Canis lupus familiaris: one gene and its partners. The protein of the gene in region 5 interacts with the protein of the main gene of each other region in a biochemical or structural test. Links are inferred from orthologs where the notes say so. Each region holds a gene or a part of one and is shown on either strand. Other genes may lie near its edges.

Region 1 (4,178 bases), on a different chromosome or scaffold from region 5:
GGCCTGAGCGCAGGGACACCTCCCCCCCCCCCCCGCCCCCCAACCCCGGTCCGGCAAGGCCAAGGAAGCGCCACCCAAGCCCTCCACCACCAAGGTGCAGCACACAGGTTTAGGGAAATCCCACTCACCCCTCCAGAATGAAACAAATCAGAGTAAAACAAACAAAAAAGAACAGGCGAAACCAGAGAAAGGTTGTGGTTCTAGGCAAACGCCTAGCCGCCTCTTCATTTGCAAGCAAGCAGGGTTTTGCTCAAAATGTTTCCATATTCTCTCAAAATGCTATAGAATTATCCTTAAAATAGATACAAGTTACATAACCACTTACAACTTTTGAATATAAAACAAGTATCCTGCACCCCTCCCCTGCCCCCTCCTCCCCTTCGCCCCACACAAAGTTCACTGTTAAAAGCAACAGAAAATTGAAAAATTCCAAGAAAAGAGTTGAACTTACAGTAGCCAAACATTATTGAAAAAAGTGGGAAATATAATTAATGTCTGTCCTGTGAGGTGCCACTGCAACCTGCAGCCAGCTTTTGCCCAGTGAATGCACGAGCTTGCAACTGCAAAAACACTGGATTCATTAACCATCTGAATGCAAAACGTAAGCATGCTTTGAGTTCTTAAAGCTGACCAAAGTTTTTTTTTTTTTTTTAATGTGTATGTTTTACTTCAACAGTGCCAGCGTTTTAAATTGCCATGTAAACAAAGACAACTTTAGGAAAAGTTAGGGCTACTGAACTCTTCCCCCCCCCTCAACAAATTAATATAGATATGTCCATGTACACATAGCTGTCTTATTTCAGGTTGTGCACTATTTTCTTAAGTTTGCTTTGATTCTAATTTTAATGCAAGCCCCAATGCAATTTAAGCTCTTGAAACATAACAGCTAGAATACTTTTTTCTAATTATAGTTTTGAACTTGGCAGTTATTTTTCAATTAAATGAGAGCACAATTCAGTTTTTTTTTTTTTTTCAGATGCCTACAAAATCTCCCTGGAGCTAGAAATGAAGTCGTCATATTTGCCTGCTCCTTGAGATCTGAAGGAATTCAATTTCTTTTCTTGTGGCATATAAAATATAATTTTAAAGTCAATTACAAGAAGGAGTAATCTGCATTCTGCAAAATTGACTGGTTCGCTAATTTGACTGTAAGACATCTTTAATGATTGTCAGGAGATAAACTTTAACTGTAAACGGCTAAATATATTTATAAGAAAAGTGCTGCATCCCTTGCCACATGAACATGAAGCATATCTAAATACAACATCAAAAGTTGTGTTAAAAGAAACCGAACCCACACAACACAGAGATTAAATGAAGTGGAAGCTCATGCCAGCTGCAGTCTATGCATTATAGCCAAATCAGAAGGATCGGTAAATGCCGTTGTAAATTGTAATTTGTATGCAGTATTTAAGCGGAGGGTGGAGTTTGATGAAGAAATAAAACGAGTATCATGCTTTTAAAAAAATGACACAACTATGAAAGGACGGTTCAGTCACAAACTTTCCTTTCAAAGTAGAGGGGTGAAAACAAGGCCACAGCTCTGGAGGAGGCGGCCCCAGCTCGGTGAAGAGGAGAGGGAACCAGTGAACAGGCCAGAAGCCCCCCTTTCCCCCCTAATTAGACCTACAAGTGCAATAAATCTCACTCCTCTTTTTCCAAGCTAAGCTTCCAAAAGGATGATGCAGCAATGAATCCATGGTTCAGGGTCCTCCAGTCCCCGGCCCTCCCCAGTTTTTAAATAAAGGGTATGATGAAGGAAGAGGTGGAGGGGAAAGTGGAATGAAAAAAAACACACACACACACACACAAGAGTTTTCTGGGGGGGGGGGGGGAAATAAGCACCCCCTCCCCGAGTTCATGCCAGCACAGCCCCCAAGCATCCTCACGCACACGCGGGAAAGAGACACACACCGAGCACATCCAAGACAGAGGAAGTAAAGGGATTTTAAGCCACAGCTCACGATCCCAGGGACACAATCCTGAGCAGGCAGCAGGAGGGGTGGAGGAGCCAGGGAGAGGAGCGCAGGCCGGGAGGGGGAGGCAGCGGCAGCGAGCTCGGTTGGGGAGGGGGGGGGGTGACGCCGGGGGAGGAAGGCAGCGGGGACAGGGGAGGCTGGGACGGGGCCGGGACCGCAGGAGCTCCAGCCCCAGACAGCAGCCACCCCCGCGAGAGAAAGAAAGAGAGAGGGCCGGGGAGGCGGGCGAAGCTCAGGGAAAGAAGCAGAGAAGAAATATTCACCTTCCCGCCTCATGCCCACTTTGAGGCACTTCTTGAGGCGGCAGTATTGGCACTGGTTGCGGTGGTGCTGGTCGATGGGACAGTTCCTGTTGGCACGGCATGTGTAAGTTAAGTTCCTGCGGACGCTCCTCTTGAAGAAACTTTTGCAGCCCTCGCAGGTGAATTGGCCGTAGTGCTTGCCGCTCGACTTGTCCCCGCACACCACGCACTCGATGTGCTGCTGGCTCTGGCCCGAGCCGGGCGGGCCCTGGCCCTTGTCCCCTGCCGTGCCGGGGGTGGCGGGCGCTCCGGGCTGGCCCGGGGTCTGCGGCGTGTGCGGCGCGCCCGAGCCCGCCTGCTGCTGCTGCTCGCCGCCGCCGCCGCCGCCGCCGCGGGCCGCTTGCGCTGCGGGGTTGGGGCCGCCGGGGTTGCCCCCGGCCACGTCGTCCTGCGGATCTCGCCAGCTGCTAACTACCATTGCCATATCTTTGGGCCCGGGGAGCGCTGGGGGGAGCCGAGCTGCTCGCCGAGGGCCGCGGGGCGCGCGGGCGCGCTGGGAGGGGAAGGGGAAGGGGAAGGGGGGAGGGGGAGGGGGCGGGGGGCCCGCCGGGCGCCCCGGGGTCGCGGGAGCCGAGCCCGAGCCGGGCACCGGCCGCTGCCTCCGCCGCCGCCGCCGCCGCCGCCGCCGCCGCTACTGCCTCGGCCGCCCCGCTGCTGCTGCGCGCCCGCCCGCCCTGCTGGCGTTTTGTTGTGGTTCCTGCTGTTTTCTTTCTCTCTTTTTGCAGCCCCCCCAGGCTCTCTGGCTCCCCCCCCAACACCCCTGCTCCCCTCGCCCGCTCCCCCCGCGCTCCGATCCTGGGGGGGCCGCGCTCTCCTTCTCCCCCCCCTCCCCACCCCCCCCCAGCCGAGCAGGCTCTCCCTTCTCTCGCTTTTTTCTTCTTCCCCAAGTTGCAAAATCAGAAATGGCACAGGCGGCAGCCGGGAGCGGCGCGGGGCGCAGCGCCGGGGGCGGCGGGCATGGGCCACGGCGCGCGCACACACTCGCCCTCCGCCTCGCCCGCACCCCCGCGCACACACACACACTCGCACACACACTCGCTCACCCGCGCCGGGCGCCCGCCCGCCCGCCCGCCGGCCGCTCGGGCTACACGCTGCGCGCCGGCTCAGCCGACATAGAGGAAGCCGGCGAGGGCGGCGGCGGCGGCGGCGGCGGCGGCGGCGGCGGCGGCGGAGGAGGCGGCGGCGGCGGCGGCGGCGGAGGCGGCGGCGGCGGCGGCGGCGGCGGCGGCGGCGGAGGAGGAGGAGGTCGCGGCTGCAGGCGCCGCTGGAGTCGCCGCCTCAGCTGCAGCGGCGAGCGCCGCTGGAGGAGCCGGGGCCCGGGCCGGAGTCCGAGCTGGAGTCGGGGCCGCAGCCGGAGCGCGAGCCCGGGTCGGGGCCGCCCGCGCCGCCGCCGCTGTCCCGGCGGGAGCCCTGGCGGGGCTCGGGATGGAGGGGAGCGCGGAGAGCCGAGCAGGGCGCGGGGCGAGGCTGCGGGCGGCGATCAGGGCGCGCTGGTGTCGGGGGGCCAGGTCCAGGGCTGGACGCAGCCAGCCATTCAGGAAGGCAGCGCCGGAGAGAGGGAGGCAGCCGGCGACGAGGATCACACACTTTGCTCTTTTTGTTGTGCCGGTGGCGCCGGGCTCTCGCTGCCTTCTTCTTTCGGGAGGTGACGGAGAGGGAGAAAAATACGAGATAATTCACGCCGGCGACGAATTCGCAGCGAAATCGAAAAAATAAAAATCAGAAGAAAAAGAATCGCAATTTAAAAAAAAAAAAAAAGCGAGAGACATCCAAAGTAGGTCGAATAAATAATCCTCTTCTTTTCCTCTTTCTTGCTCCTTCTTCTGCTTCTTCTGCTATAACACACAGAGCTAGTTAAAAAAACCCTGGAGATCGCCCAAAAATGTTCTTTTTTTAG
Region 2 (3,991 bases), on a different chromosome or scaffold from region 5:
AGGTACTTTGCACTTTATGATAAAATCAACAGGAGAGAAATCTTCAGTGGCTCTTTAAAATTACTGCATTAGGTTATTCGAAATCTTTCATAGCTTGAAAATGTCTTCACAGCTTGATTATCTCTGGTAAAGATAAATATGGGGGAAAAATCCCAAAGCTTTATCTAAACTTCAGGTTCTTCATATTTGTGTTCCTTTTCACTACATCTATTTAACACAATGGTTTGTTATGCACAACTATGACCAGCTAATGCAATACTACTTAAAAAAAAAGGCCAATCATAAAATGTAATCTTCTACCCAGAATTGGCAAAAACTGACCGTACTGAGTCTACAATAGTCCAATCGAACATATTTTAATTTTTAAAATAACTGTTAGAAGAATGACAGCACACGCTTGGCATTTATTTGTACAACTCCAGATTCCACCAACTGTTCAATGCTTCCTATTAAAGTTCCTTAAACTGCACTTTAGAAAACGGTACTACGTATCACCTCCATTTTCCATTACAGTGATCTCATTCTTTTGGTCTGAGTAGAGATTGTGTAAAAATACCGAAAAGCATTCTTTGCGTTGCAAAGTATTCTTCTCAGGGCTTGCTCTAAAGAAACGCACACACGCTTCGTGTTGAAATCCTTAGAAGAGGAGCCACTGCTCTGGGAATTTCAGTAAAAACGCTATTGCGTAACCGCGCGCCCCTTCAAGCTGCAGAGGACAGCGCGGGTGGGTGCAAAAAGCCTCAGGCCGCCGAGGCAAAGAAAAGGAGAAACGGCAGGCGAGCGGGGAAGGGGAGCGTGAGCTGGGAAGGGCAGGAAGAGAGGCGGGGAGGGGAGGAAAGGGAGTGGGGCGGGAGGCAGGAAAGGGAAGGGCGGGCGGAGGCGCGGGCGGAGGCGCGGGCGGGGAGGCAGACGAGGGGCGGGGGCGGCGGCGGGGGCGGCCGGCGGGGGAGATCCTCGCTGGCGAGCACAGACGGATGGGGCCGCCCTAACCTCAACGAGGCTCGCGGGTGAGTCACCGGGAACATTCCTCGCCGCTCGCACGTCCCCGCGCCCCTGCCCCCGCCATTGGCCAGCCCGCCCGGCGGCGCGGGCCCGGATTGGCTGCACCGCGAAGGGCGGGGGCGCGGGGGAGGAGGGGGCGCGGCATGTGAACAAAGCGTGATCAGCCGCTGCTCCGGGCCGCGCAGGAAACGTGAACTGGGAATTGCCGCGCCGTCACCTTTCACCTACTTCCTGAGCCCGCGGCCCCCGCCCTCGCGCCGGCCCGGGGGAGGGGCCGCGGGCGCCGCCGCCAACCGCCCGGCAGTGCGCGCCCGAGCCCGCGGGGAGGGGCGGGGCCGCGGGCGCCGGCGCCGGCGCCGGCCCCGGCCCCGGCCCCGGCAGCGGGAGCGCCCGCCCCTCCCCGCGCCCGCCGAGCCGCCGTTCCCTTAGGAACCGACAGCGGGGCCGGGCCTCGCTGCCGCCCCTGGCGGAGGCCGGGGCTGGGTCACCCGGGGACGAGGAGCTCCCTGGGCGCAGCCGCTCCCGGCCCACCCCCGGCCTCCGCCTCGGCTGCCGGAGGAGGAGCCGGGTCCCCGCGGAAGCCCGGCCCCCGCCCCCTCCCGGCCGCAGCCCCGGGGGATCCGGCCGAGCCCTCGGCGCTTCCCGCCCACGCCGCGCGCGGGACCTCAGACCACCCCGTCTTCCCCGCAGACGCCGCGCCCCCTCCCCGCGGTTTCCGGCAGCTCCGTCTCCGCCCGCGGAGTCTCCACAGGTTCCCAGACGTGCAGCCCCCACAGACTCCCGCTCCAGACGCGCGGCCCCGCGGCCCGCACCCCCGCGTCTCGCGGCCCGGCTCCCCCGCCCACGTCCCCCGCCCGCTGCCGGCTCCCGCCCTCCGCCCTCCGCCCTCCGCCCTCCCCTCCCGGGGGTCCTCAAAGGCGGTCACTGGCTCCCGCCGGGACCCGGGGGCCCCTGCCGACGTGCGGGGGCGCACCTCCTCGTCCCCCTCGGCGGCCCCGGCCCACGTGCCGTTCCTCCGCGCCCACGCCGGGCGCCCCCTCGCCCGGCCCGGCCCGGCCCCGCGGTCGGCCGCGCAGCCCCGGCACCAGCCTCCGCCGAGACCCCCGAGAGGGGCCGCCCCTCGCCCCTCGCCCCTCCCGGGGACACACCGCCCCTCGAGCGCCCGGGCAGCGCCTCCCGCCCAGGGTCGCATTCCCGGTCCAGACGGCGGCGTCGCTCCCGGCGCCAGGTGCACGGGGGCCTCCTCGTCATCCCCGCACTGCCCTCTTACACCTTCCCCGGGCCCGCGGCCGGGGCAGCAGGCCCCTCCCCGCTGCGCTCCCCTGCAGGCATCCTCCCCCTCACCTGCCTCAGGTCCCCCTGCGGAGCTGCCCCTGGCCCTCCTCCTCACACCTTGGGCAAGGCCCCTGTCCCTTGGTCCCCAGGTCCCGATCCGCCCGTGCTGACCCACTCCGCGGCACACACGCCCTCCCCAGTGCCCAGTCTGCAGGCAGAAAGCCCGGTCCTCCCCCACGACTCCGCGGCAGCCCCGGTCGTCGGCGCCGCTGCTGTCCGGAGCTCGGGGCTGGCGCCCGGCTCGCCCCTCGGACGCGGAGGAAGGGAAGGACAGGGGCATCCCCAGGTGACCTACCGCAGCGAGCTGGAGGGAAGCGCCGAAGTTGAGCATGGCTGGCTGCCTGGCGGCCGGCGGCGAGCTCACTGGCTGCTGCGCTGCTTGGCTGCCGGGCCACGGACGGGCGCTCGGAGACACTCGACGCCGCTCCCGCCGCCGCCGCGCGCCGCGCCGTCTGCCCCCTCCCCATTCAGGTAGCCTCTCCGCCTGCCCCGCGCCGCGGGCGGGGGCGGGGGCGGAGCCTGCGGCCGGCCAATCAGCGACAAAGGTGTGTGAGGCGCCGGCCAATGGGCTCCCGGGGCCACGCGTGATCAGCGGCTGCCCGGCAGCGTGAAGCTTGTGTCAGTGGAGCGTGTACACAATCCCCGGCAGCGTGTTCCCTCGGCCCTGCCCGAGGGAACTCCCGCCGCCACCTGACTCGGCGACACCCCCTCGGCCCTCGCCCACCCCCCACCCCCCCCCGCTGTCCTCCGCCCCGGCCGAGGGGGCGGTGCCGCGGGCGGGGGCCCAGCCGGAGGCGCGGCGGCGGCGCGCCCAGGCTCTGCGGAGGGCCGGGCCCACGTGGGAGGTGGGGAGGGATGCCCGCTCCGCCCCGTCCCCTCTGCTCCGCGCCCCTCTCGGCCCGCCGCGGGGTGGGCGGGACACCGGGCAGCCGGGCGGGGGAGGCGGTGGCTGCTAGCCCGGGGGCCCGAGCCAAGAGATTTGCATTGGGAAGCGCCGTCCTCTTAGGCGTCTTAGGCGTCTGGCAAGAAAGCAGAGTCGCTGACCGACTGAGCTGCATTTCTCGAGCGTTTGCTGGGTTTTGCCTCGCTGAGCTGTGGGGAGCCCCGGGGCGGGGCGGGGAGGGCAGGGCAGGGCAGGGAACCCTGTCACTGAGCCGACACCTGCTCCTGCGCCCCCCGCCCACGCCCCGACCTCCGGCGCGGGTCGCCCTACCCTGCAGCAGCGCGGGCAGCAGTGCCCGCCCCTGCCCTCCCCGCCCATCCTTCCTCCAGGCTGCCGGGAGGACGGCGCGAGGACTGCAGGAAGCCCTGAGAACCGGCCCAATGGAGTGATGAGGGGCTGCAGACCCGGGTATTTATCCTTCTCTGACGACGCTTGGTTGCGGAATCGAGTTTTGAGCTCGATGTAAAGTTTAAATTGCAGTCTGCAAGCTGTTTCAAAGGTAGACCCCCACCCCCGCCCGGCCAAGGCCTCCAGAAACACCCAGCCTGGAAACTGCTTGTGGGGAGGGGTCTCCTAGGGTCGCCGGAGCCCGCGCGGGCGCGCCCGGGGGTGGGGTTGCTGCGGGGAGGCCCGCCTGCTCCAAGACACACCGCGCCCTCTCAAGGGCCGCCCGCCCTCCGCTCCCCCACAGTCCCACCTCCGACCCCTGGG
Region 3 (2,526 bases), on a different chromosome or scaffold from region 5:
TGGCTCCATAAATAGTTCTCAGCCTGGGCGCAGGCTCAGTGGTGTGTCCAGAGATGTGAGCCTGTGTGAGGGATGGTATTAGCCAAGATGCCCCTGTTCTGTCCCTGGCTCAGCTCCAGGGCCCCACCTGTCTCTCTCAGAACCACTGCCTCTTTCCTTAGCCTTCCAGCCCCCATCTTGAACTTCTTCCTAGCTTCATCTTTCACTATTACTTTAATGTCCTTCTTGATTAGGATATTGGGGCTGGCAAAGGCAAGTATTATGCTGTTAACTACCCGCTCCGAGATGGGATCGATGACGAGTCCTATGAGGCCATTTTCAAGCCGGTAAGTGGCTTATCCACCACCCGGGCTGCAATCAGACTTAGTCTGAGGGATGGGTAGCAAAGTACCTCCAGCATACCTAGGTACTTCTCCCCCAACCCCGAGAAGCTGATTGGGAAATGAGATGTGTTTTGACCCTGGATTGTATGCTGTGTGGTCAGCTAGGGGAATGAAATTCATGCAAATATTTATTGATGCCTTCTGTGGGTCAGGCCCTCTGTTGGATACAAGAATATCTAAGACATGAATCATACCCTTGAAGACCTCACAGTCTACATTGCGGGAGGCAGGCACATACACGACAGCGTGTGGTCATTACTGTTTTTGCAAGATGAACAGAAGGGTGGGAGACAAATGGCTGCCTGGGCTGGGGGGAGGGTAGTCAGAGATGACTTCACAGAGGTGGTGATATTTGAGCTGGACTTTGAAAAATGAGTTGCCTATGTAAAGGAGGTGGAGGCTGGAGAGCAGGGGTGGCATTCAACAGGGGGAACAGCACCAGCAGAAGTACAGAGGTGCCTGTATGTAGCTGCATCTAGACTAGTTCAAATATGGGAGGACCATTGAAGGATGTGATGGGAAACATATGTTGGGGTCAGGATTTCAAAGGGGGCCTTGAATGCTGAGCTGAGGAGTTAAATCTTTGCCTGTAAGCCACAAGGAACCATTACTGGCTTATTATTAACCTAATAGGGTCAGGTAGTGAAGTGCTTCCTATATGCCTTATAGTAAGGGTAGCAGCGAAGCCCAACATATGGTCTTTGTCCTAGGTGATATCAAAATCTTGTCAGAGTGAGAAAGATGAAAGTGAGTGCCCCCTCACAATATGAGGCACAGAGTCTGTAGGACTGAAGGCAGATGCAGCTGACAGTCAGAAGTGGCACTGGAGCTTGGGCAGTGAAGGAAGCAAAAGATGAGGCTGTTCCAGGTTCAGCATTACTAGAGCTAGAAAGATCTTGGAGAGCCTTTCAAATTGGAAAATTGAAATCCCAGACTGATGCTCCCTACCACCCAGCATGAGGGAGAGTGGAAAGTAGGAGTAAATGATGCCAAAGTACTGCACCCATCCTTTGCAGCCCCAAACATCACATAACCTCTTCAAGCTGGTGGTTACCGGGATGTGTCCTTTTAGGTCATGTCCAAAGTGATGGAGATGTTCCAGCCCAGTGCGGTGGTCTTACAGTGTGGCTCTGACTCCCTGTCTGGGGATCGGTTAGGTTGCTTCAATCTCACGATCAAAGGTGAGGCCAGGTAGCATAGGGATGGGTGGGCAGGGTCCTGCTGGGTGCTCCTGTAATCCAACAAACCCTTTCTTCCCCGAAGGGCACGCCAAGTGTGTGGAGTTTGTGAAGAGCTTCAACCTGCCTATGCTGATGCTGGGAGGAGGCGGCTACACCATCCGTAATGTGGCCCGCTGCTGGACATATGAAACAGCTGTGGCCCTGGACACGGAAATCCCGAATGGTGAGAGCTCCAGGGCCAAGCCAGGCTGGGCTGGGCACAGCTGAAGCTTGTGTTTCCTCAAGTTCACAAGCCGTTTCCCACTAGCTGTGTGGCCTCCCCTCTTCTGATGCTAGTCATCGATTAATTCTCCTGCCTATCCTCTTGTGATAGTCAGACCACCAGTTTTTCCTGAGTCCTTTCTTGACCCTGTCCTCTCTCCCTCCTGCTTCTGGTCTAGACAGAATTATCAGTGGTTATTTATAGCTTTGGAATTTCTACTCTGTAGGGGATCTGGGATAGTCAGTGAGGAAATGCTCCCAATGGGCATTGCCTAAATTTTTCCAAATTGGGCTTGTGCCTCTTCTCATTGTGTGTATGTTGGAGGGTGACACTGGAGAACAGCATTAAAAAGATTGAAACCCCACTAAGTACCCAAGTCTCACCATCTCAGAGGCATTCTTCTGTGTTAGATGGTTGGGCTGACAGGTCCAGACAAACCTACAAATGCTTTTTTCTTGGGGTCCTGTGGCAGCCAGGTCTCTTGACTCCTATCTCCTGCCCCAATTAGAGCTTCCGTACAATGACTACTTTGAATACTTTGGACCAGATTTCAAACTTCACATCAGTCCTTCCAATATGACCAACCAGAATACCAATGAATACCTGGAGAAGATCAAGTGAGTATATCCCCATGCACCCCCTGATTGAACATTCCAGGCTCTGGTTTGTCCCTAACCAGAGCCCAGCCACCCTCTCTACC
Region 4 (3,952 bases), on a different chromosome or scaffold from region 5:
TGCAGAACACAATTAGTATCTCATTCTCCCACCCCTTTACCACTCAGGGGGCCCATCCGTTACTCACCCACAATAAGGCTGGATACAGGCATAAACTTAGCAGCCACCTGCAGCCTAGAAAAGAGTAATGCCGACTAAAATAACTCAAGACTACAATAACTCAAGACCGTTCCTCCCCCTCCCTTGGCAATAGGCTCTCTCACCGCGTGCCTTAAGAGGCGCTACCAAGTGCAGTGCCCCGACCTACGTCTAGGAAAAGCATGAGACTGGTATTGCCGTATCCCTCCCGCCCCCCAGTGCCACTCCAAGTCCTCCACGGCCGGGACCCTCAACGCAGCCACAAAGAGCCGCAGGTGCCGGGTGTACCCACCATCCCCCGGGCGCAGCACACAGGTCCAGCAAGGCTCGTGCTTTCTGCAGGAACTGAAAACGGCGATTCAACTGGATCAGCTTGAAAGCAGAGCGGGAGCGGTAACCTGGGGGCACCGACAAAATGTTAAACTCGGCGGGGGGCTTTCCCAGGGAGATTTCTGCGACTTCACAACCCACCACCCCGTCTACAGAACGGAAACTCAGTATTCGGAAAGGTGGGAGAGAATCGAAAACGTCCCTCCTTAGCTCGCAGACAGCGCGGACCCTGACTCACCGGTCTCCTTCGCCAAGTGATAGAACTTGTCCCGCCGGCTCTTCCCGACTTTGCCCTTCTTGCCCATAGTGGAACGGGAGGACTGTCACTTAACCTGGGGACAGAAAAATTGAAACGCCGCTTTCCGTCCCCCACTTGTCTCTGCAAGCACGGGGAATCTCTGCCTTTTTCACCACTCTGAGAGAGGCACGTGGGGGGCAGCACACGTACTTCCGTTTCCGCTTGCGTCGCTTGCGTCTCCGGCTCCAAGTTTCCGCCATTTTGAGCGTGGCCGAAAAGTTTTCTTTATGTCCTTAAGTATTGCAAGTTGGAAGTTGGGACCAGGTGAGCGGATTACCTGATCTAAAACTGAGTTCCTAGAGAGCAACATTTAGGAGTTCCGTGGCCTCCTCATCCCTTTCCAAGCTCCTGACCTCGCGTAGCCACCTTCTCATCATGGCCTCTGTTTTTGTAGTCGTCGCGACGCACACCCCGCCCATTGACCCGGAATTCTTCTCTGTCAGGGTCGCCGGGCCCCAAGCCCCTATTTTTGCGCCTGCGCGCCAAGGTGGCTCGGATGCCGGCGGCCGCCGTGGGTGAGAGAAGATGGCGCTTGACGGGCCGGAGCAGGTACGGCGGCTGCGGTGGCCGGGTGGGGACGGGGCCTCGATGCGAAGCAGGCGCGATCCGAGGTGGGCAGACGGCCGAGGCAAGGGGGTCGGGTGGGTTGGGTGGGTGGACCAATCCAGACTGGGCCCTGCGCGGGACCGGATCTGCTGTGTCAGCGCCGCCCGCGGCGGGTCAGAGCAGGGCCGGGAGAGAAAGACCCGGGGGAAGCGGAGCGAATGAGGGGAAGATGGCTCGGTACAAAGCGCTCTCGTGCATGTTGTCCCTTGATCCTCCTGAAAGTCTTACGAGGTAGGCGGCATTCTCCTTCTGCTTTGAGTTAGTCGCGGGGAAGTGGAGGGTTCTAAAGAGATGACTGAGGAATTCAACCCAAATCCCATTCCTCCAAAGTCCAGGCTTTTTTCCCTTGCATTTTGGGGGTTGGGGGGCTAATAATTACCCTGTGTCTTCAGATGGAGCTGGAAGAGGGGAAGGCAGGCAGTGGACTCCGCCAATATTATCTGTCCAAGATCGAAGAACTCCAGGTGAGGATGGACTACAGAGGCAGCTAGGAGGGGATGAGGGACTGGAGTATGTTTATATAAACCCACGTAGTCCGGTGGGGGCGCAGTGGAAGAAGTAACTGGTCAAGGATAGGAGTATATGAAGTTAAGTTTCTTGTTTCTCTCACTTCTCACCCTTTGAAGGTAATCAGTATACACGGTTTATTACACATCGTTGGCTGTCAGATTTTGACGTAAGAGGTACTCTTTGCCAAGTACTATTCCTTTTAGAAGTTTGAATTGAGGGTTTCTTATAAAAGGTAACGCGGAAGCTGGGATGAGACGTAGCACACGGGCTGGGACAGGGTGAGAGCGAGAAGGGAGACCGAAACTCCCAGTTGGGATAATGCGGACCCCATGGGACTGAATAAAAGGAGTTGGGCCACCCAGTGCCTTAGCCTGAAGAGGGGGCAGGGACCGTAGCAATAAGGGAAATATACACACTGGATGAAAGAAAGTCACAAGGACGGTTTCTGAACTCCTGGCGTATTTGCAGCTTTCATATTCGGTCTATGATTTTTGAAGTGCCTTTACATGGGATTTCCTTTGTTCTTCACAATAGTCCTGAGAAGAGGCAGGGTAGGGGACGCTAGATCTACTTCCAGTTTGGTAACATCATGACTTTTTTTTTTTTTAACATCGTGACCTTTTAAATGGTTTCCCTTAGCTTTAGCTACCTGTTAGTTGGCAGCGGTGGGCTTAGAACTTAGGCTTTGGACTCAGTGATGTTCCCACTCTACCATGTTATTTTCTTGCAAGGAGTTGACTATGTGAGGCAGCTGTGACTTTTATCAGGGCTTGCTATTCCTGGTCCATTATTAGGGCAACTAGTCTTTTTTCATGGCTGCTCTAGGCCCCAGAGGGACTCCTGGAGGAAAGGATAGTCTTTAAGATCATATCGGACAGTCTGGAACGTGCAGGTGGCCCCGTGCTCTTCTGTCACTTAGCTCGTACCAGCCTGTGAGGATCTTGGCCAAGACCATAACCTCTTGTTGTTTTCTGCTGTTTCTTGTCCTCCGTAGTTGATTGTAAACGATAAGAGCCAAAATCTCCGGAGGCTGCAGGCACAGAGGAATGAGCTTAATGCAAAAGGTGAGAAGGGAAAGATGGGAAGGCTGCATTTGGCCAGTCTGTCCAAGGTCTGTCTGAATCTGCCTAAATTGAGACTTGAGACTTCATGTTTGGTGCTTATTGTTTCTCGTATAGTCCAAGGTTACACTTTACACCGTTACGTAGTTACGGGCAGGGACCGCATGCCTCTCCCCATTGTAACCCCTTTAGAAATTAAATTCTGACTTTATTTTTGTGGTCTTCTAAAACTTCAAATTGGTGCTTAATTCATGCCTGTCAAATGGAGTCGTGAGAGAAAGGACACTGAAGAAGCTGGGTGACCCCTATGTCTGTTTCCCATCCAGTTCGCCTATTGCGGGAAGAACTACAGCTGCTGCAGGAACAGGGCTCTTATGTGGGGGAAGTAGTCCGGGCCATGGATAAGAAAAAAGTGTTGGTTAAGGTAAAAGCACGATTGACCCCCAGAGAGCAGCCCAAAGCCCAACGCATTCCCACACGTGTGTGTAGCATTGCCAAGACACTCTTCTATTATTTTAGGACTCCTGGGTCTTCCTGGGCGAGGTGGGTAGTTTGGTGGTTGTCAGGAAAGGTCACGAACCCGTTTCTGTAGGTGCATCCTGAAGGCAAGTTTGTCGTAGATGTGGACAAGAACATCGACATCAATGATGTGAGTGCTGCAGGTGAGGTGGGAGGTTGGGCTCAGCTCTTAGCACACTACCTCCTAAAACTCTTCTCTTACCCAGGTGACACCCAATTGCCGGGTGGCTCTAAGAAATGACAGCTACACTCTGCACAAGATCTTACCCAACAAGGTAGACCCACTGGTGTCACTGATGATGGTGGAGAAGGTGCCAGATTCAACCTATGAGATGATCGGTGGATTAGACAAGCAGATAAAGGAGATCAAAGAAGTAATTGAGCTGCCTGTCAAGCATCCTGAGCTCTTTGAAGCACTGGGCATTGCACAGCCCAAGGTGAGAAGCAAGATTTCTATGGAAGGGTCATGCTGTTACTGGCATGTCCTGCCCTTGCCAAAGTGAGTACAGGGCTCAGGGGAGGTGTCTGGACCCCCACTTAATGCTGGCCC
Region 5 (4,167 bases):
CTGGGAGATAGCTTGGGTTGTAAAGGTCTGCCCTGACAATGGTGCTGCTTGGAGGGCCTGGAGAGCCTGTCCCCCTTGAACTAGCTGAGGCTGGATAAGAATTTGTTGCTGTTGCTGTGTCTGCTGGTTTTGCTCTCCCTCTTTTTGCTGACTTGCTTGCAGAGAGCCTCCAGATGTCTGGTTCTGCTGAATGTTTAGAGCATCAGACCCCTGTAGCCCACTGACCCTCTGGGGTGTCTGCCCTTGAGAGTTGGTCCCTGCTGATCCGCTGGTGGTGAAGTTCATAATTCCCATGTTGCTGGTGGTAGTAGTTGTTGAGTAGCTATTGGCATTGGTGAAAAAGGAGCTGGAACTGGCTTGTGATGATACCAAACTGGCAGAACTGATGGCAGTCCCTGAGGTGGAGGGCTGTGAGCCACTCTCCTGGGACCCAGAGCTGCTGATAGTGACTGCCTGAGAGCTAGGAGTCAAGGTAGCTGCAGAAACGCTGTTGACAGGTAGCAAGGTGATATTCCCGTTCAGGGCCACTGGTACATTGGTCACATACTGAGTCTGTCCTGAGAGTACGTTATTAGTCAGGCCTTGGAGGGGGACAGCCTGCTGGAGTAGGTTTGGCATAGCAGCAATGATGTTGCCTCCACTTCCTCGATTTGTGATGATCTGTTGGTTTGCACCTGGTATGATCTGTATTTGACCAGAACCATCCTGCTGCACTTGGGCCCCAGTGGCAGCGAACTGCAGCTGTTGCCCATCAACGGTCTGGAACTGTGGGATTACTTGATACTGAATATTAGGCATCACTCCAGGTAATCCTGTCAGGACTTGCTGGTTCTGTAAATTGGAGGTGGCGGCCACAACATACTGCCCACCAGAGACCGCACGATTCTTGGAAGACTCACTGCCATTGCTGCCATTGGTACTGCTGCCACTCTGTTCCTTTGAGGTAGGGGTAGCCCCAGAGGAGGAAGAGATGATCTGCCAGCCATTGGCACCCTGTGAGAGCTGTGTGGCTGTGAGGTCAAGCTCACCTGTACCCCCTGACTGGCTTGGGCCTTGGGAGTTGTTGCTGTTTTCATTGGGTGACTCAATTCTGCTGCAAGTTGCTGCCAGCAGAGCCAGAGGGGATGGCTGGGATTCCTGGCCGGAAAATAAGGGAGAGGATAGGAGTCAGAGACACCCAGCTGCCAGCCCTGGGGGCAGTTTTAAAACAAATAAACAGCAAAACTGCAGCCAAAGAGAGGGAAAAAAAAAAAAAAAAACCTGAAACAAAAAGCTGACCTATCCATACTGCTGAAATCCTCATCTCTGGAGATCTCCCAATCATTTGTCTCTCTGTGCTAACTTCCCTAGCTACAAAATGGTTTAGCGCTTTCCTAAAAACGTTTCTGTGAAAAGACAATAATCTAAGAATATTTACATTCTCTAGACATCTCCCCTACTCTGCCCTGGTTTATCACTTACCTGCCCTCCTCCTCCTCCACTGCTGCTACTGCCTGTGCTGCTGCTTCGAGCCTGAGAAAAGGCACCATCACCATTACCGTTGCCCCCATTATTGCCACCAACTCCTTTTTCAATCTTCACCACGGCTGTCATTTCATCCATGGAGTGATCTTGGTCTAAAAAGAATTAAAAGATAAACAACTTAGAGTTGGAGGAAGGAAAAGGGTAAGGTTAGGAGGGATAAAGGACGCTATGATGAAACAAATAATTAACAGTAAGGTGAAAGGCACCAGCGTTAAAAAAAAAAAAAAAAAAAAGTGGATTGAGGAAAGGGCAATTGTAGGACACATAGAACACAGACTTGGCTTAGCAGTGCTGAAACTGGGCCTCAATTCTTCCCTGGCACAAAATTACACCCAGGAAACATTAAAAATGTACTTTTCGTATAGGAAATGTGAGGGGCGATGGACATGTTCAAAGAGTTTCAAAATAAAAAAAAGTATCCTGGGGATAAAAAGGAGAGGGATAGGTAAGGCAAAGAACAACATGTGGGTGGATGGAAAGCTTGCTAAAATTAGGGTCAAAGAATATAGAGAAAGAGAAAAACTCAAGGGTAAAAAGCAGCACGAGGAGAAGAGGGGCAAAGGGGAAAGAAAAAACAAAAAAGTGTGAGTGGGGAAACATTTGTGGATACGGCTAAGGGGCTACGGGGTCCAGGGGTTACGAATCTGGAGGTTTCGGGGCGGACAGAGGGCGGGCCCTGGAAGGAAAGGGCGGTTTCGGGGTGAGGGGCGTGGAAAGGGCGGGACGGTGGGGGGGAGGGGAAACCTACGGGGGGAGGGGAGGGCCTTGGGGCAGGCGGCGACCAGAGGGCGGACCGGGGAGGCGGTTGGCCCGGGCGGGGCCTGCACTGCTCGGGCCGCCCCCGCGGCTCCAGCCCCCGGCGGGAGGAGCCTCAGGCGGGCGGCCGAATAGTGGGGGGTAAGGCCCGTCCCCCGTGGCCGGGGCGGGCAGGGGGCGGGCGAGGCCACGCTGCCCCCTCCCCCGGGGCGGGCGGCCCATCCCCCGCTTTCTCGCAGGCCCCGCCACTGCCCCTTCTCCCTCCCTTCCCTCCGCCCCGGGCGGGACCAAGGCCGCCGCCGCCGCCTCCCGCCCGCCCCCCCTCACGGCGGGGACCGCCCGGTCGGCCCTCGCGCGCGCCCCCTCATTCCCCTCCCACCCCTAAGCGTGGAGTGGACTCATCCTTACCGCTCATGGTGGCAGCTGAGGGACGAGCTCAAGGGGGTCCTGTCCGGGGGGGTTGGGGGGGGCCGGGAAAAACGCGGACGCTGACGAGGCAAGCGAACCCGGACCGGACAGGGAGGGGGGGGGTAAGGAGGAGGGAGCAGCGCGCCACAAGCCCGGCCTAGGCCCCGCCCCTTCGCTGCTGCCCCGCCCAATGAGGGAGGGAGAAAGGCGGGACTTGCGGAAGAAAGACGCGTGGGTCATCCAATGGCAAGGCTCACTGGCTCTCTAAGGCGTGTAGGACAAAGTTGCGAGCCTGGTGTCCGCCCAGGGAGGCCGCCCTCTCAGTTTTAAGGCCCAATGAAAGGCGCAGGAAGTGGGGGTGGGCGGGAGCTAGTGATGACAGGCTTGGGAGGGAGCCAGTCAACCGCCAGGCGGGCTCCCTGAACGGTGGGGATAGGGAGAGCTTAGGTTGGAATGACAGAACATCGGCCAACCAGAAGCCCGGACATGCCTGGGCAAAGTCCCCGGTGGGAGGGGGTAAGAAGCAGGCCGAAATGGGATAGGATGAAGCCGACCACAGCCAATCAGAAATCAGGCGGGCAGCCAGGAAAGTTAGGATTGGGCCAACGCTGAGACAAGACAAGCGGGGACGCAAATTGACGTGAACGAGAAGCCAATTGAACGCCGAATGCACTCCGGGGGCGGGACTTTGGGGTGGGCCGAGGAGAAGCGGCGTCTCCCTCAGTCGGTCCGCCCAATGAGGCGGCGAAGGGGGCCAGGCCCCGCCCCCAGGGGGGCCAATGGGCGCCGCCAGAGCCGCCCGTCGCGGGGGAGGGAGCAGGGCTGTGCCAAGAGGAGGCCGCCGCCATCTTGGCCCTCCTCAGGGGACGTCTTTGCAGTGGTTAGGTGGCGCGCTTCGGTGGGGCCGTGCTGCGCAACAAGTGTCAGGGTCGAGACGGGCGGAGCGCGGCTCTGCCTCCCGCCGGCCGCTCTCTCGGGGGCCCCCCCAGCGTCCCCCTCCCCGCGGTGGGCGGACGGGCGGGCGGGCGCCTCGGAGTGTGGGTGTCGGCCCTGTGGGTGCGCGCGCGCCCGGCCAACCCCGCGCCGACCGTCCGCAAGGGCTTTTGTGCGACTCCGGCGGACGCCATCTTCCCGACTTCTCCCGCAGACGGCGGCCGGCGGCTTCCTTCCGCGGCGCTGACTTTCTCGAGAGCTGGGCCTGGAGGACCTCCCAGAGTCCGCGTCCTGTCAGCCACTTCCTGCCTCTCCTTCCCCACACACCCCGTCCGACGGCAGGAGGAGAGCGCGGGCCTTTGTAACCAAAGTCACAGGACACTTTCCCCTCAGACACCTGCGTTTCTGGCACCTCCCGTTCTACCTCGCTTCCCCCCCCTCCCCTGGTGTTGGTGGAGGCGGCCTGGGTGAGTCGTCAATGACACGGAGGTCATTCCCTGCGGCCCCTCCTGGTATCTTCGTGTTGTCACTAAATTATTTTCAGTG
Region 6 (4,225 bases), on a different chromosome or scaffold from region 5:
TGCCCCAAAAGGTGGTGATTAATTCAGGCTGTTAAAAAACTGAAGTAATGACCCCAACACTGCAACATTTGTTTTAGTTCTTTAAAAAAATTACATTTAATGGAGGCGCCTGGGTGGCTCGATCGGTTTAAGCCTTTGCCTTCAGCTCAGGTCATGATCCCCGCAGGATGGAGCCCCCAAGTCTGGCTCCCTGCTCACCGGGGAGTCTGCTTTTCCCCTTGCTCATGCTCTCACTCAAATAAATAAATAAAATCTTATAAAAAAAATAAAGTCAATGAATAAGAAGTAAAATACAGGCAATACACAAAGACATCCCTAAATTCAGAACTAGCACATTACCAACACTGTTGGAAGTTTCCTGTGTGCCACCGCACCCCACCCCCAGATACGGTCGGAATTAGCAAGATTATTTCACGACTTTCTCCAACAAAGGTAATTTCTAAAGCCTGACCTATTTGCTCCCTGATACAATTTAAGGTGGTTAAGAAGTCCTTCTACTTCGTATTTGACGAACTGAGCGCGTTCAAGGCACGTTATCTCCCTGTCCCCGTGCCCACTTCTCACAGCTGACCAAACCACGAGCTGGTTTGAACGCTGTCCTGAGGAAAGGATGAAAAGAAAAGCGTCCCGGACAACCCAACCCACTCGGTTTTCAAAAGCGGTTGCTAGACAATGCAGGTAACTCCAGAGGGCACTGAAGAGAAAAATCCGCCACTATCCTACTGTGGCAGGAGCATCAGCAGATCTTTAGAGTGCCGTTCCCCTCAAAACTTCAATGCACATGGAGGTAACGGCCTCAGTCCCCACAATCCAAGAGGCAGAGAGCGCGCTGACAGTGGCTGGATGCCCCAGAGAAACACGAGTCCCGGGAAGCAGCTTTCCGACTGCCCTTTTTGCAGCCAGGTTGCGGGCGTGCTGCGGGCCTCGCCACGGGGTTCTTCTCTCCACACCCCAAGATCTCGCTAGATGGCCTCTAGGAGGGGGACCCAGAGCGGGGCCAAGAAACCCACGGAACCGCCGACTGCGACTGGGTGTCTGTCACCAGCCCCGCCGGCAGCCCAGACCCAGGGAGTCCAGCCGGAGGATTCGAGATAAAAGGCCTAGGAGCGTCCGGCGGACTTAAAGGGTTTCAGTCCACACACACCCGGGCTCCGGGCCGAGACTCACCAGCCTCTGAGCCGGCCATGTCACGGAGGCAGGTCGCTGCCGGACTTCCAGCTGGGCGCGAGGCGGACGGCGTCCGGGAAGGGCCGCACAGCGCAGACGCAACGCCGAGGTGGGGGGAGAACGAAACGAAAGGGCAGGGGGTGAAAGAGGGAGGGACGTTAAAACGGCTTCTTGCTGCTGATTGGTCATCACGGGAGGACTTCCTTTCGCAGCACGCGCCCAGGCGGCGGTTTGTGGGCTCTAGGTACCATTCTCCGCGGGCAAGATCCCGCTGAGGGATTCTCAGGTGGGTGGATTTGACAGGCCGGGTCACCCAGCGGCCCTGGCCGGCCTCCCGGGGGCAATAGTACGGCACTTCCGGCGAGCTATTTCGTTTCGTATTCCTCCGCCGACGCCAAGTGGAGAAGTAGTGCGGTCCGCTTACCCGATGGGCGGGAGCAGTCACGTGACAATGTCAGGCTCCGCCTTCCCGTCTCACTTGGTTAGGGGCGTGAAGGCTCTTCGGAGACGTAAACATCTCCAAGTGGGCTGAGTGGGTTGGTCTGTGCTGGCCATTTTGTCGGCAGGGCTAGACCTGGGAAAGGGCGGGGTGGCTTCCTTGAGGTGTGGAAAGACGAGAAAAAGGTGAAGAACACAGAGTAGGCTAAGGCGTCTCAGTGCGGGTGGGCCCAGCCGTGAAAGGGGCCCCAAGCCGGCGACTCTGAGGGAAGCGGAGGGTGGGGGTGGGGCGAGAACATGGCGGATCCCGGAACGCCGGCGGGCGTTGCGGCCTCTGCGCAGGGGCGGGGTGATTAGGTCATAGAGCGGCTCCCAGCATTCTCCGCGGCGGAGGAGGCGGTCCAGGCTATAAAACCGGCTGCCGGGACGCGGCCGGCACCTCATTCATTTCCACCGGTCTCTTGTCGAGCAGCTCCGGCCCCTGTCATCGCCGCCCCGCTGCCGCTGCCGCCCCCGCAAGGCTTTGCCATCGCCAAAGCCACCTGCAGCGACTCGTCGCACCCGATTCTCTTTACTTCGTTCCCCGCCAACCGCAACCATTGACGCCATGTCGGGTTATTCGAGTGACCGAGACCGCGGCCGGGATCGAGGGTGAGTGTGGGAACGGACTTGTCAGGCCCGGCAGTGGGGGATGGGAGGCCGATGAAGGAGGCGGCGGGCGGGGGCGATGGACAGTCGGCTTTTTCCGGCTATATTTAACCTTTACGAATCGAAGGCTTGCGCCATTTTGATATTTGTCCGGAACTGACAGAGGGATGTTTCCCTGTTAACGGTCCTCAAGCTCGCCTTTTGTTGGTGGGGGGATGGGGGAGGCGCCGAAGCCCCCGCCCCCGCCGACTGAGCAGCTGTTGGGGACAATTCGGGGGAGTGTATTTCAATGGTTGGAAAGCGCGACGCTTTCAGGAGAACGAAGTCACCGCTGTTCGGTGCATCTTTTCGGGAAGTGTTGTAGGGGCCCCGGGAGTTCTGTGGTAATCGAAGGGGTCGCCTCACGAGCCATTGATGGCGCGGGAGCAGGAGGGCGGCCGGCACCGCGGGAATCGGCCATGTGGCTGAGCCGCGGGTACAAAATGCCGGCGCCGGACATGGCGGCGGCGCCTTTGTTACCCCGCCCGGCGGAGGAGCTCAAAATGGCAGCGTCGAGAAAATGTGGCGCAGAGAGAAATGCGAGACAAAGGGGGAAGCGCCGCCCCAGCGGGAACGCCGCCCGGTCCGGGACTCCTCCCCCGGTAGTTGCCAGCTCCTCCTCCTCTTTTTCTTTGCGTTATATAATTTTGCTATCTTGATGAGGAGCCCTCCGGGGGGATCCCCCCAATTCGATGGGCTTGCATAAATGTCTCTGAGACCACCGTCCTTGTTCTGTTCTCGTTGGTGCTGTCCCATTATTCCTTAGAACCAAAGCTGCTTGGCTTGGAAAGAGCTGATAATAACATTGCTGTTACGCACCTCCCTTGTATTGTCTCTCCCCCAGACATTTAATGCCTAAGCTCACGGGAAAGACTAGGAGCCACAAGCTGTTGTCTATCCTTGTAATCTGAACATGGGGCGTTTGGGCAGCCAATTTCCGACCTGATAAATCCCGGGCTGTTGATTTGGCTTCAATAGTGTGTATTTGGGACAACGGAAAGTGAGAGAGATGGTGCTAATTGTGGCTTTTGAGAGCATGACCCATCACTAAGGACAGTGCTAAGTCTTAAACCTCGAAAAGTCTTTCATTTATCTGTACTGTGTGTCAAGGGACAATAAATAGTCTGTATGTAAACGTCTTAGTAGGTAGTTGAAAATATAACTTTTTTGTTTTAATTTCAGGTTTGGTGCACCTCGATTTGGGGGAAGTAGGGCAGGGCCCCTATCTGGAAAGAAGTTTGGAAACCCTGGGGAGAAATTAGTCAAAAAGAAGTGGAATCTTGATGAGCTGCCCAAATTTGAGAAGAATTTTTATCAAGAACACCCTGATTTGGCTAGGCGCACAGCAGTGAGTAATTTCACAGGGCTTCCTTGGGCTGTAACTCAACAGTGACTTTTAGTAAACAGAAATTTGAACAGAGGCCTTGGAAAACTCATATTTTCTGATAGTCGAGGAAGAGGAGGTGCTTTGGCAAGTGGTATCTTTGAATTTTTCTGTTTAGAGTGGTTAAATATAACTACAATAGATGGATCTTGTGCTCTGTAGGTTTTCTATATGTGGATATAGATTTTAAATGGCCCGTTACAGTTTGCTAATCCTTGATAAACTTAAGGCCTGCTGACTGCATATTGGTGAAGGTTGTTATGGTACTTAGTAGGTTATTAAAATTTGTTTTATAGCAAGAGGTGGAGACATACAGAAGGAGTAAGGAAATTACGGTTAGAGGTCACAACTGCCCAAAGCCAGTTCTGAATTTTTATGAAGCAAACTTCCCTGGTAAGTGCTAGTTCAGAGCACTCACTCCCCCCCCTTTATTAATTTCACCCTTTTTCTTAGCTTCACTAAATTTACTGAATTACTGTTGCTAATTACAGCAAATGTAATGGATGTGATTGCAAGACAGAATTTTACTGAACCCACTGCAATTCAAGC
Region 7 (3,179 bases), on a different chromosome or scaffold from region 5:
GGGAGCCACCTTAAGGGCGGTGCTCCCGCCCCCCGGAAGTGCGGGGGGGGGGCGGGGGACGCCGGCCCGGAGCTCGGCCTGCAGCCGCGGCAGGCGGCGCGGCGCCCGCGGAGGACCTCGAGCGCCCCGAGTGGTGCACCCCTCCCCGCACCCCGCGCGCCCTCGGCCCCGGGCACCTGGCCGGGTCCCCGCGCCTTCCCGCCAGCGCCCTGAACTGGAGCCCGCCCGGGCCGCGGGAGCCCGCGTCCGCCCGCGTCCGCCCGCGTCCGCCCGGCTCGCGGCAGCCGCCGTCACCCGACAGTCAAATCCCAAGACGTCAGCCCACAATGCACCGGGCGGGCCGGGAAAGACGCGCGGCGGAGGAGACGGGGGCAGAGCCGGGCGCGAGCCGCGCGGGAGGGGGAGGGGGGAGGGGGAGGGGGAGGGGGAGGGGGAGGAGGAGAAAGAAGGGCCCAACTGTAGGAGGGCAGCGGAGCATTACCTCATCCCGTGAGCCTCCGCGGGGCCGGAGAAGAATCTTCTAGGGTGGGGTCTCCATGGCGACGGGCGGGCCCGCCCCCTGGAGAGCGACGCGAGCCAATGGGAAGGCCTTGGGGTGACATCATGGGCTATTTTTAGGGGTTGACTGGTAGCAGATAAGTGTTGAGCTCCGGCTGGATAAGGGCTCAGAGTTGCACTGAGTGTGGCCGAGGCGGCGAGGTGGGAGTGGAGGAGCGCGGACTCGGGGAGGCGGGCGGCCGCGGGCAGGCGAGACGGCCGGAGAGTCCGGGCTGCAAAATCCGCTTTCCGTTTTGCATTTTCCTCGCCGACTGGCCGGAGCTAGCGCCTGTGGCTCCCGGGCTGGTGTTTCGGGGAGCGCCCGGAGAACCCCCTTCTCCAGCCGCCCCCGGGAGGAGAGCCCCGCCGCCCGGGAGCCGTGACAGCGCGGAGAGCGGCGACAGGTCCGTCCGCGCAAGTGCAGAGAGTGGCTGCGGCGGCTCAGAACTTTCCTGGCCGGGAGCACAGGGGACGAGTGGCCCGGGTCCCGGAGCGAACTTTTGCAAAGCTCTGCCGCGCCTGAGGCTGCGGCGGCTGCGGCGGCGGCGGCGGCGGCGGCGGCGGCGGCCGGGACGAGAGAGGCGGCGGCGGAGCGAGGAGACCGCGGAGGGACGTGCGCTCGGCGCCCCTCGCCCCGGTGGCTGAACTTGGGCGAGCGCGAGCCGCGGCTGCCCGGCGCCCCCTCCCCCTGTCGCCGCGGGGGCGGGCCCGCGGGCCCCCGGGAGCCGCCGCGCCCCGAGAGCGCCCCGAGCGCGCCCCGTGGGTGACCGCGACTTTTCCCCGAGGCGGGCAGCGCGCGCGCCAGCTGACCCAGGAGGAGCGCGGCGGCGGCCGGAGCCGGTGAGCGGGGCGCGGGGGGAGGACCGCCGGCGGGAGCGCGCGCCCCTCCAGAAACTTTCCTCTAGCCCAGGGCCGCCCCCCCCACCCGGGAGGCGCGGGGGTCCCCCGCTCGCCAGCGCGCTGTTGCGGCCCCGAAACTTCTGCGCGCAGCCCAAAGTAACCCCGCGCGAAGTGACGGACTGTTCTATGACTGCAAAGATGGAAACGACCTTCTACGACGATGCCCTCAACGCCTCGTTCCTGCAGTCCGAGAGCGGCGCCTACGGCTACAGTAACCCCAAGATCCTGAAGCAGAGCATGACCCTGAACCTGGCCGACCCGGTGGGCAGCCTGAAGCCGCACCTCCGGGCCAAGAACTCGGACCTGCTCACCTCGCCCGACGTGGGGCTGCTCAAGCTGGCCTCGCCCGAGCTGGAGCGCCTGATCATCCAGTCCAGCAACGGGCACATCACCACCACGCCGACCCCCACGCAGTTCCTGTGCCCCAAGAACGTGACGGACGAGCAGGAGGGCTTCGCCGAGGGCTTCGTGCGCGCCCTGGCCGAGCTGCACAGCCAGAACACGCTGCCCAGCGTCACGTCGGCGGCGCAGCCGGTCAGCGGCGCGGGCATGGTGGCCCCGGCGGTGGCCTCCGCGGCGGGCGGCGGCGGCGGCGGCGGCGGCTTCAGCGCGGGCCTGCACAGCGAGCCGCCGGTCTACGCCAACCTCAGCAACTTCAACCCGGGCGCGCTGAGCAGCGGCGGCGGGGCGCCCTCCTACGGCGCGGCCGGCCTGGCCTTTCCCGCGCAGCCCCAGCAGCAGCAGCAGCCGCAGCAGCCGCAGCAGCCCCCGCAAGCGCCGCACCACCTGCCCCAGCAGCTCCCCGTGCAGCACCCGCGCCTGCAGGCCCTGAAGGAGGAGCCGCAGACGGTGCCCGAGATGCCCGGGGAGACGCCGCCCCTGTCCCCCATCGACATGGAGTCGCAAGAGAGGATCAAGGCCGAGAGGAAGCGCATGAGGAACCGCATAGCTGCCTCCAAGTGCCGGAAAAGGAAGCTGGAGAGGATCGCCCGGCTGGAGGAAAAAGTGAAAACCTTGAAAGCGCAGAACTCGGAGCTGGCGTCCACGGCCAACATGCTCAGGGAACAGGTGGCACAGCTTAAACAGAAAGTCATGAATCACGTTAACAGTGGGTGCCAGCTCATGCTAACGCAGCAGTTGCAAACGTTTTGAGGACAGACTGTCGGGGGCTTGAGGGGCAACCGAGAGAGAGGAGAGAGAGAGAGAGAGAGAGGAGAAAAAAAAAAACCACACACACACACAGAGAGCGAGAGCGAGAGAACTTGAGAACTTGACAAGTTGCAAGAGAGAGCGAGAGAGACAAGAAGTGTCCAAGGACTAAAGCCAAGGGTATCCAAGTTGGACTGGGCGGCGTCCTGACGGCGCCCCCAGTGTGCACGAGTGGGAAGGACTTGGCGCGCCCTCCCCTGGCACGGGGCCAGGGAGCGGCTGCCCGCGGGCTGCCCCGCTTTGCGGACGGGCTGTCCCCGCGCGAACAGAACGTTAGACTTTTCTTTAACATTGACCAAGAACTGCATGGACCTAACATTCGATCTCATTCAGTATTAAAGGGGTGGGGGGGGGGGAGGGAGGGGGAAGGGTTCCAAACTGCAATAGCGACTGTAGATTGCTTCTGTAGTACTCCTTAAGAACACAAAGGGGAGGAGGGGGGGTGTTGGGGGAGGGGAGGCGGGAGGGAGGTTTGTGAGAGCGAGGCTGAGCCTGCAGATGAACTCTTTTCTGGCCTGCCTTCCTTAACTGTG

What was found.
Region 1: the proteins of SP1 (region 5) and NR2F1 form a complex in vitro, tested with the Homo sapiens proteins (2 studies listed by BioGRID). The link is inferred for Canis lupus familiaris from reciprocal best matches to the Homo sapiens genes SP1 and NR2F1.
Region 2: the proteins of SP1 (region 5) and KLF10 form a complex in vitro, tested with the Homo sapiens proteins (2 studies listed by BioGRID). The link is inferred for Canis lupus familiaris from reciprocal best matches to the Homo sapiens genes SP1 and KLF10.
Region 3: the proteins of SP1 (region 5) and HDAC1 form a complex in vitro, tested with the Homo sapiens proteins (2 studies listed by BioGRID). The link is inferred for Canis lupus familiaris from reciprocal best matches to the Homo sapiens genes SP1 and HDAC1.
Region 4: the proteins of SP1 (region 5) and PSMC5 form a complex in vitro, tested with the Homo sapiens proteins (2 studies listed by BioGRID). The link is inferred for Canis lupus familiaris from reciprocal best matches to the Homo sapiens genes SP1 and PSMC5.
Region 6: the proteins of SP1 (region 5) and DDX5 form a complex in vitro, tested with the Homo sapiens proteins (2 studies listed by BioGRID). The link is inferred for Canis lupus familiaris from reciprocal best matches to the Homo sapiens genes SP1 and DDX5.
Region 7: the proteins of SP1 (region 5) and JUN form a complex in vitro, tested with the Homo sapiens proteins (2 studies listed by BioGRID). The link is inferred for Canis lupus familiaris from reciprocal best matches to the Homo sapiens genes SP1 and JUN.

Annotation. Positions count from the first base shown.
Region 1 is NC_049224.1:15,771,465-15,775,642, forward strand, and holds the start of NR2F1 (COUP transcription factor 1), read right to left. Parts: upstream 2,801-4,178; 5' UTR 2,706-2,800; coding exon 2,243-2,705; intron 1,937-2,242; exon of another isoform or gene 1,915-1,936; intron 1,741-1,914; exon of another isoform or gene 465-1,740; coding exon of another isoform or gene 452-464; intron 281-451; exon of another isoform or gene 129-280; intron 1-128. UniProt on the Homo sapiens protein: Coup (chicken ovalbumin upstream promoter) transcription factor binds to the ovalbumin promoter and, in conjunction with another protein (S300-II) stimulates initiation of transcription. Binds to both direct repeats and palindromes of the 5'-AGGTCA-3' motif.
Region 2 is NC_049234.1:4,353,188-4,357,178, forward strand, and holds the start of KLF10 (Krueppel-like factor 10), read right to left. Parts: upstream 2,801-3,991; 5' UTR 2,669-2,800; coding exon 2,633-2,668; intron 739-2,632; exon of another isoform or gene 557-738; intron 517-556; exon of another isoform or gene 502-516; coding exon of another isoform or gene 496-501; intron 1-495.
Region 3 is NC_049223.1:68,301,034-68,303,559, reverse strand, and holds part of HDAC1 (histone deacetylase 1), read left to right. Parts: intron 1-233; coding exon 234-326; intron 327-1,455; coding exon 1,456-1,564; intron 1,565-1,646; coding exon 1,647-1,787; intron 1,788-2,334; coding exon 2,335-2,443; intron 2,444-2,526. UniProt on the Homo sapiens protein: Histone deacetylase that catalyzes the deacetylation of lysine residues on the N-terminal part of the core histones (H2A, H2B, H3 and H4).
Region 4 is NC_049230.1:15,140,696-15,144,647, reverse strand, and holds the start of PSMC5 (26S proteasome regulatory subunit 8), read left to right. Parts: upstream 1-1,152; 5' UTR 1,153-1,231; coding exon 1,232-1,255; intron 1,256-1,704; coding exon 1,705-1,776; intron 1,777-2,816; coding exon 2,817-2,886; intron 2,887-3,209; coding exon 3,210-3,307; intron 3,308-3,475; coding exon 3,476-3,532; intron 3,533-3,608; coding exon 3,609-3,839; intron 3,840-3,952. Other genes in the region: pre-rRNA 2'-O-ribose RNA methyltransferase FTSJ3, read right to left, coding at 68-114, 371-476, 647-713.
Region 5 is NC_049248.1:44,804,296-44,808,462, reverse strand, and holds the start of SP1 (transcription factor Sp1), read right to left. Parts: upstream 2,801-4,167; 5' UTR 2,696-2,800; coding exon 2,689-2,695; intron 2,210-2,688; exon of another isoform or gene 1,802-2,209; intron 1,617-1,801; coding exon 1,462-1,616; intron 1,138-1,461; coding exon 1-1,137. UniProt on the Homo sapiens protein: Transcription factor that can activate or repress transcription in response to physiological and pathological stimuli.
Region 6 is NC_049230.1:14,616,023-14,620,247, forward strand, and holds the start of DDX5 (probable ATP-dependent RNA helicase DDX5), read left to right. Parts: upstream 1-1,425; 5' UTR 1,426-1,453; exon of another isoform or gene 1,454-1,897; intron 1,898-2,077; 5' UTR 2,078-2,212; coding exon 2,213-2,256; intron 2,257-3,474; coding exon 3,475-3,640; intron 3,641-3,972; coding exon 3,973-4,069; intron 4,070-4,167; coding exon 4,168-4,225. Other genes in the region: CEP95 (centrosomal protein of 95 kDa), read right to left, coding at 1,168-1,186. UniProt on the Homo sapiens protein: Involved in the alternative regulation of pre-mRNA splicing; its RNA helicase activity is necessary for increasing tau exon 10 inclusion and occurs in a RBM4-dependent manner. Binds to the tau pre-mRNA in the stem-loop region downstream of exon 10.
Region 7 is NC_049226.1:51,325,633-51,328,811, forward strand, and holds JUN (transcription factor AP-1), read left to right. Parts: upstream 1-1,347; 5' UTR 1,348-1,563; coding exon 1,564-2,589; 3' UTR 2,590-2,679; downstream 2,680-3,179. UniProt on the Homo sapiens protein: Transcription factor that recognizes and binds to the AP-1 consensus motif 5'-TGA[GC]TCA-3'.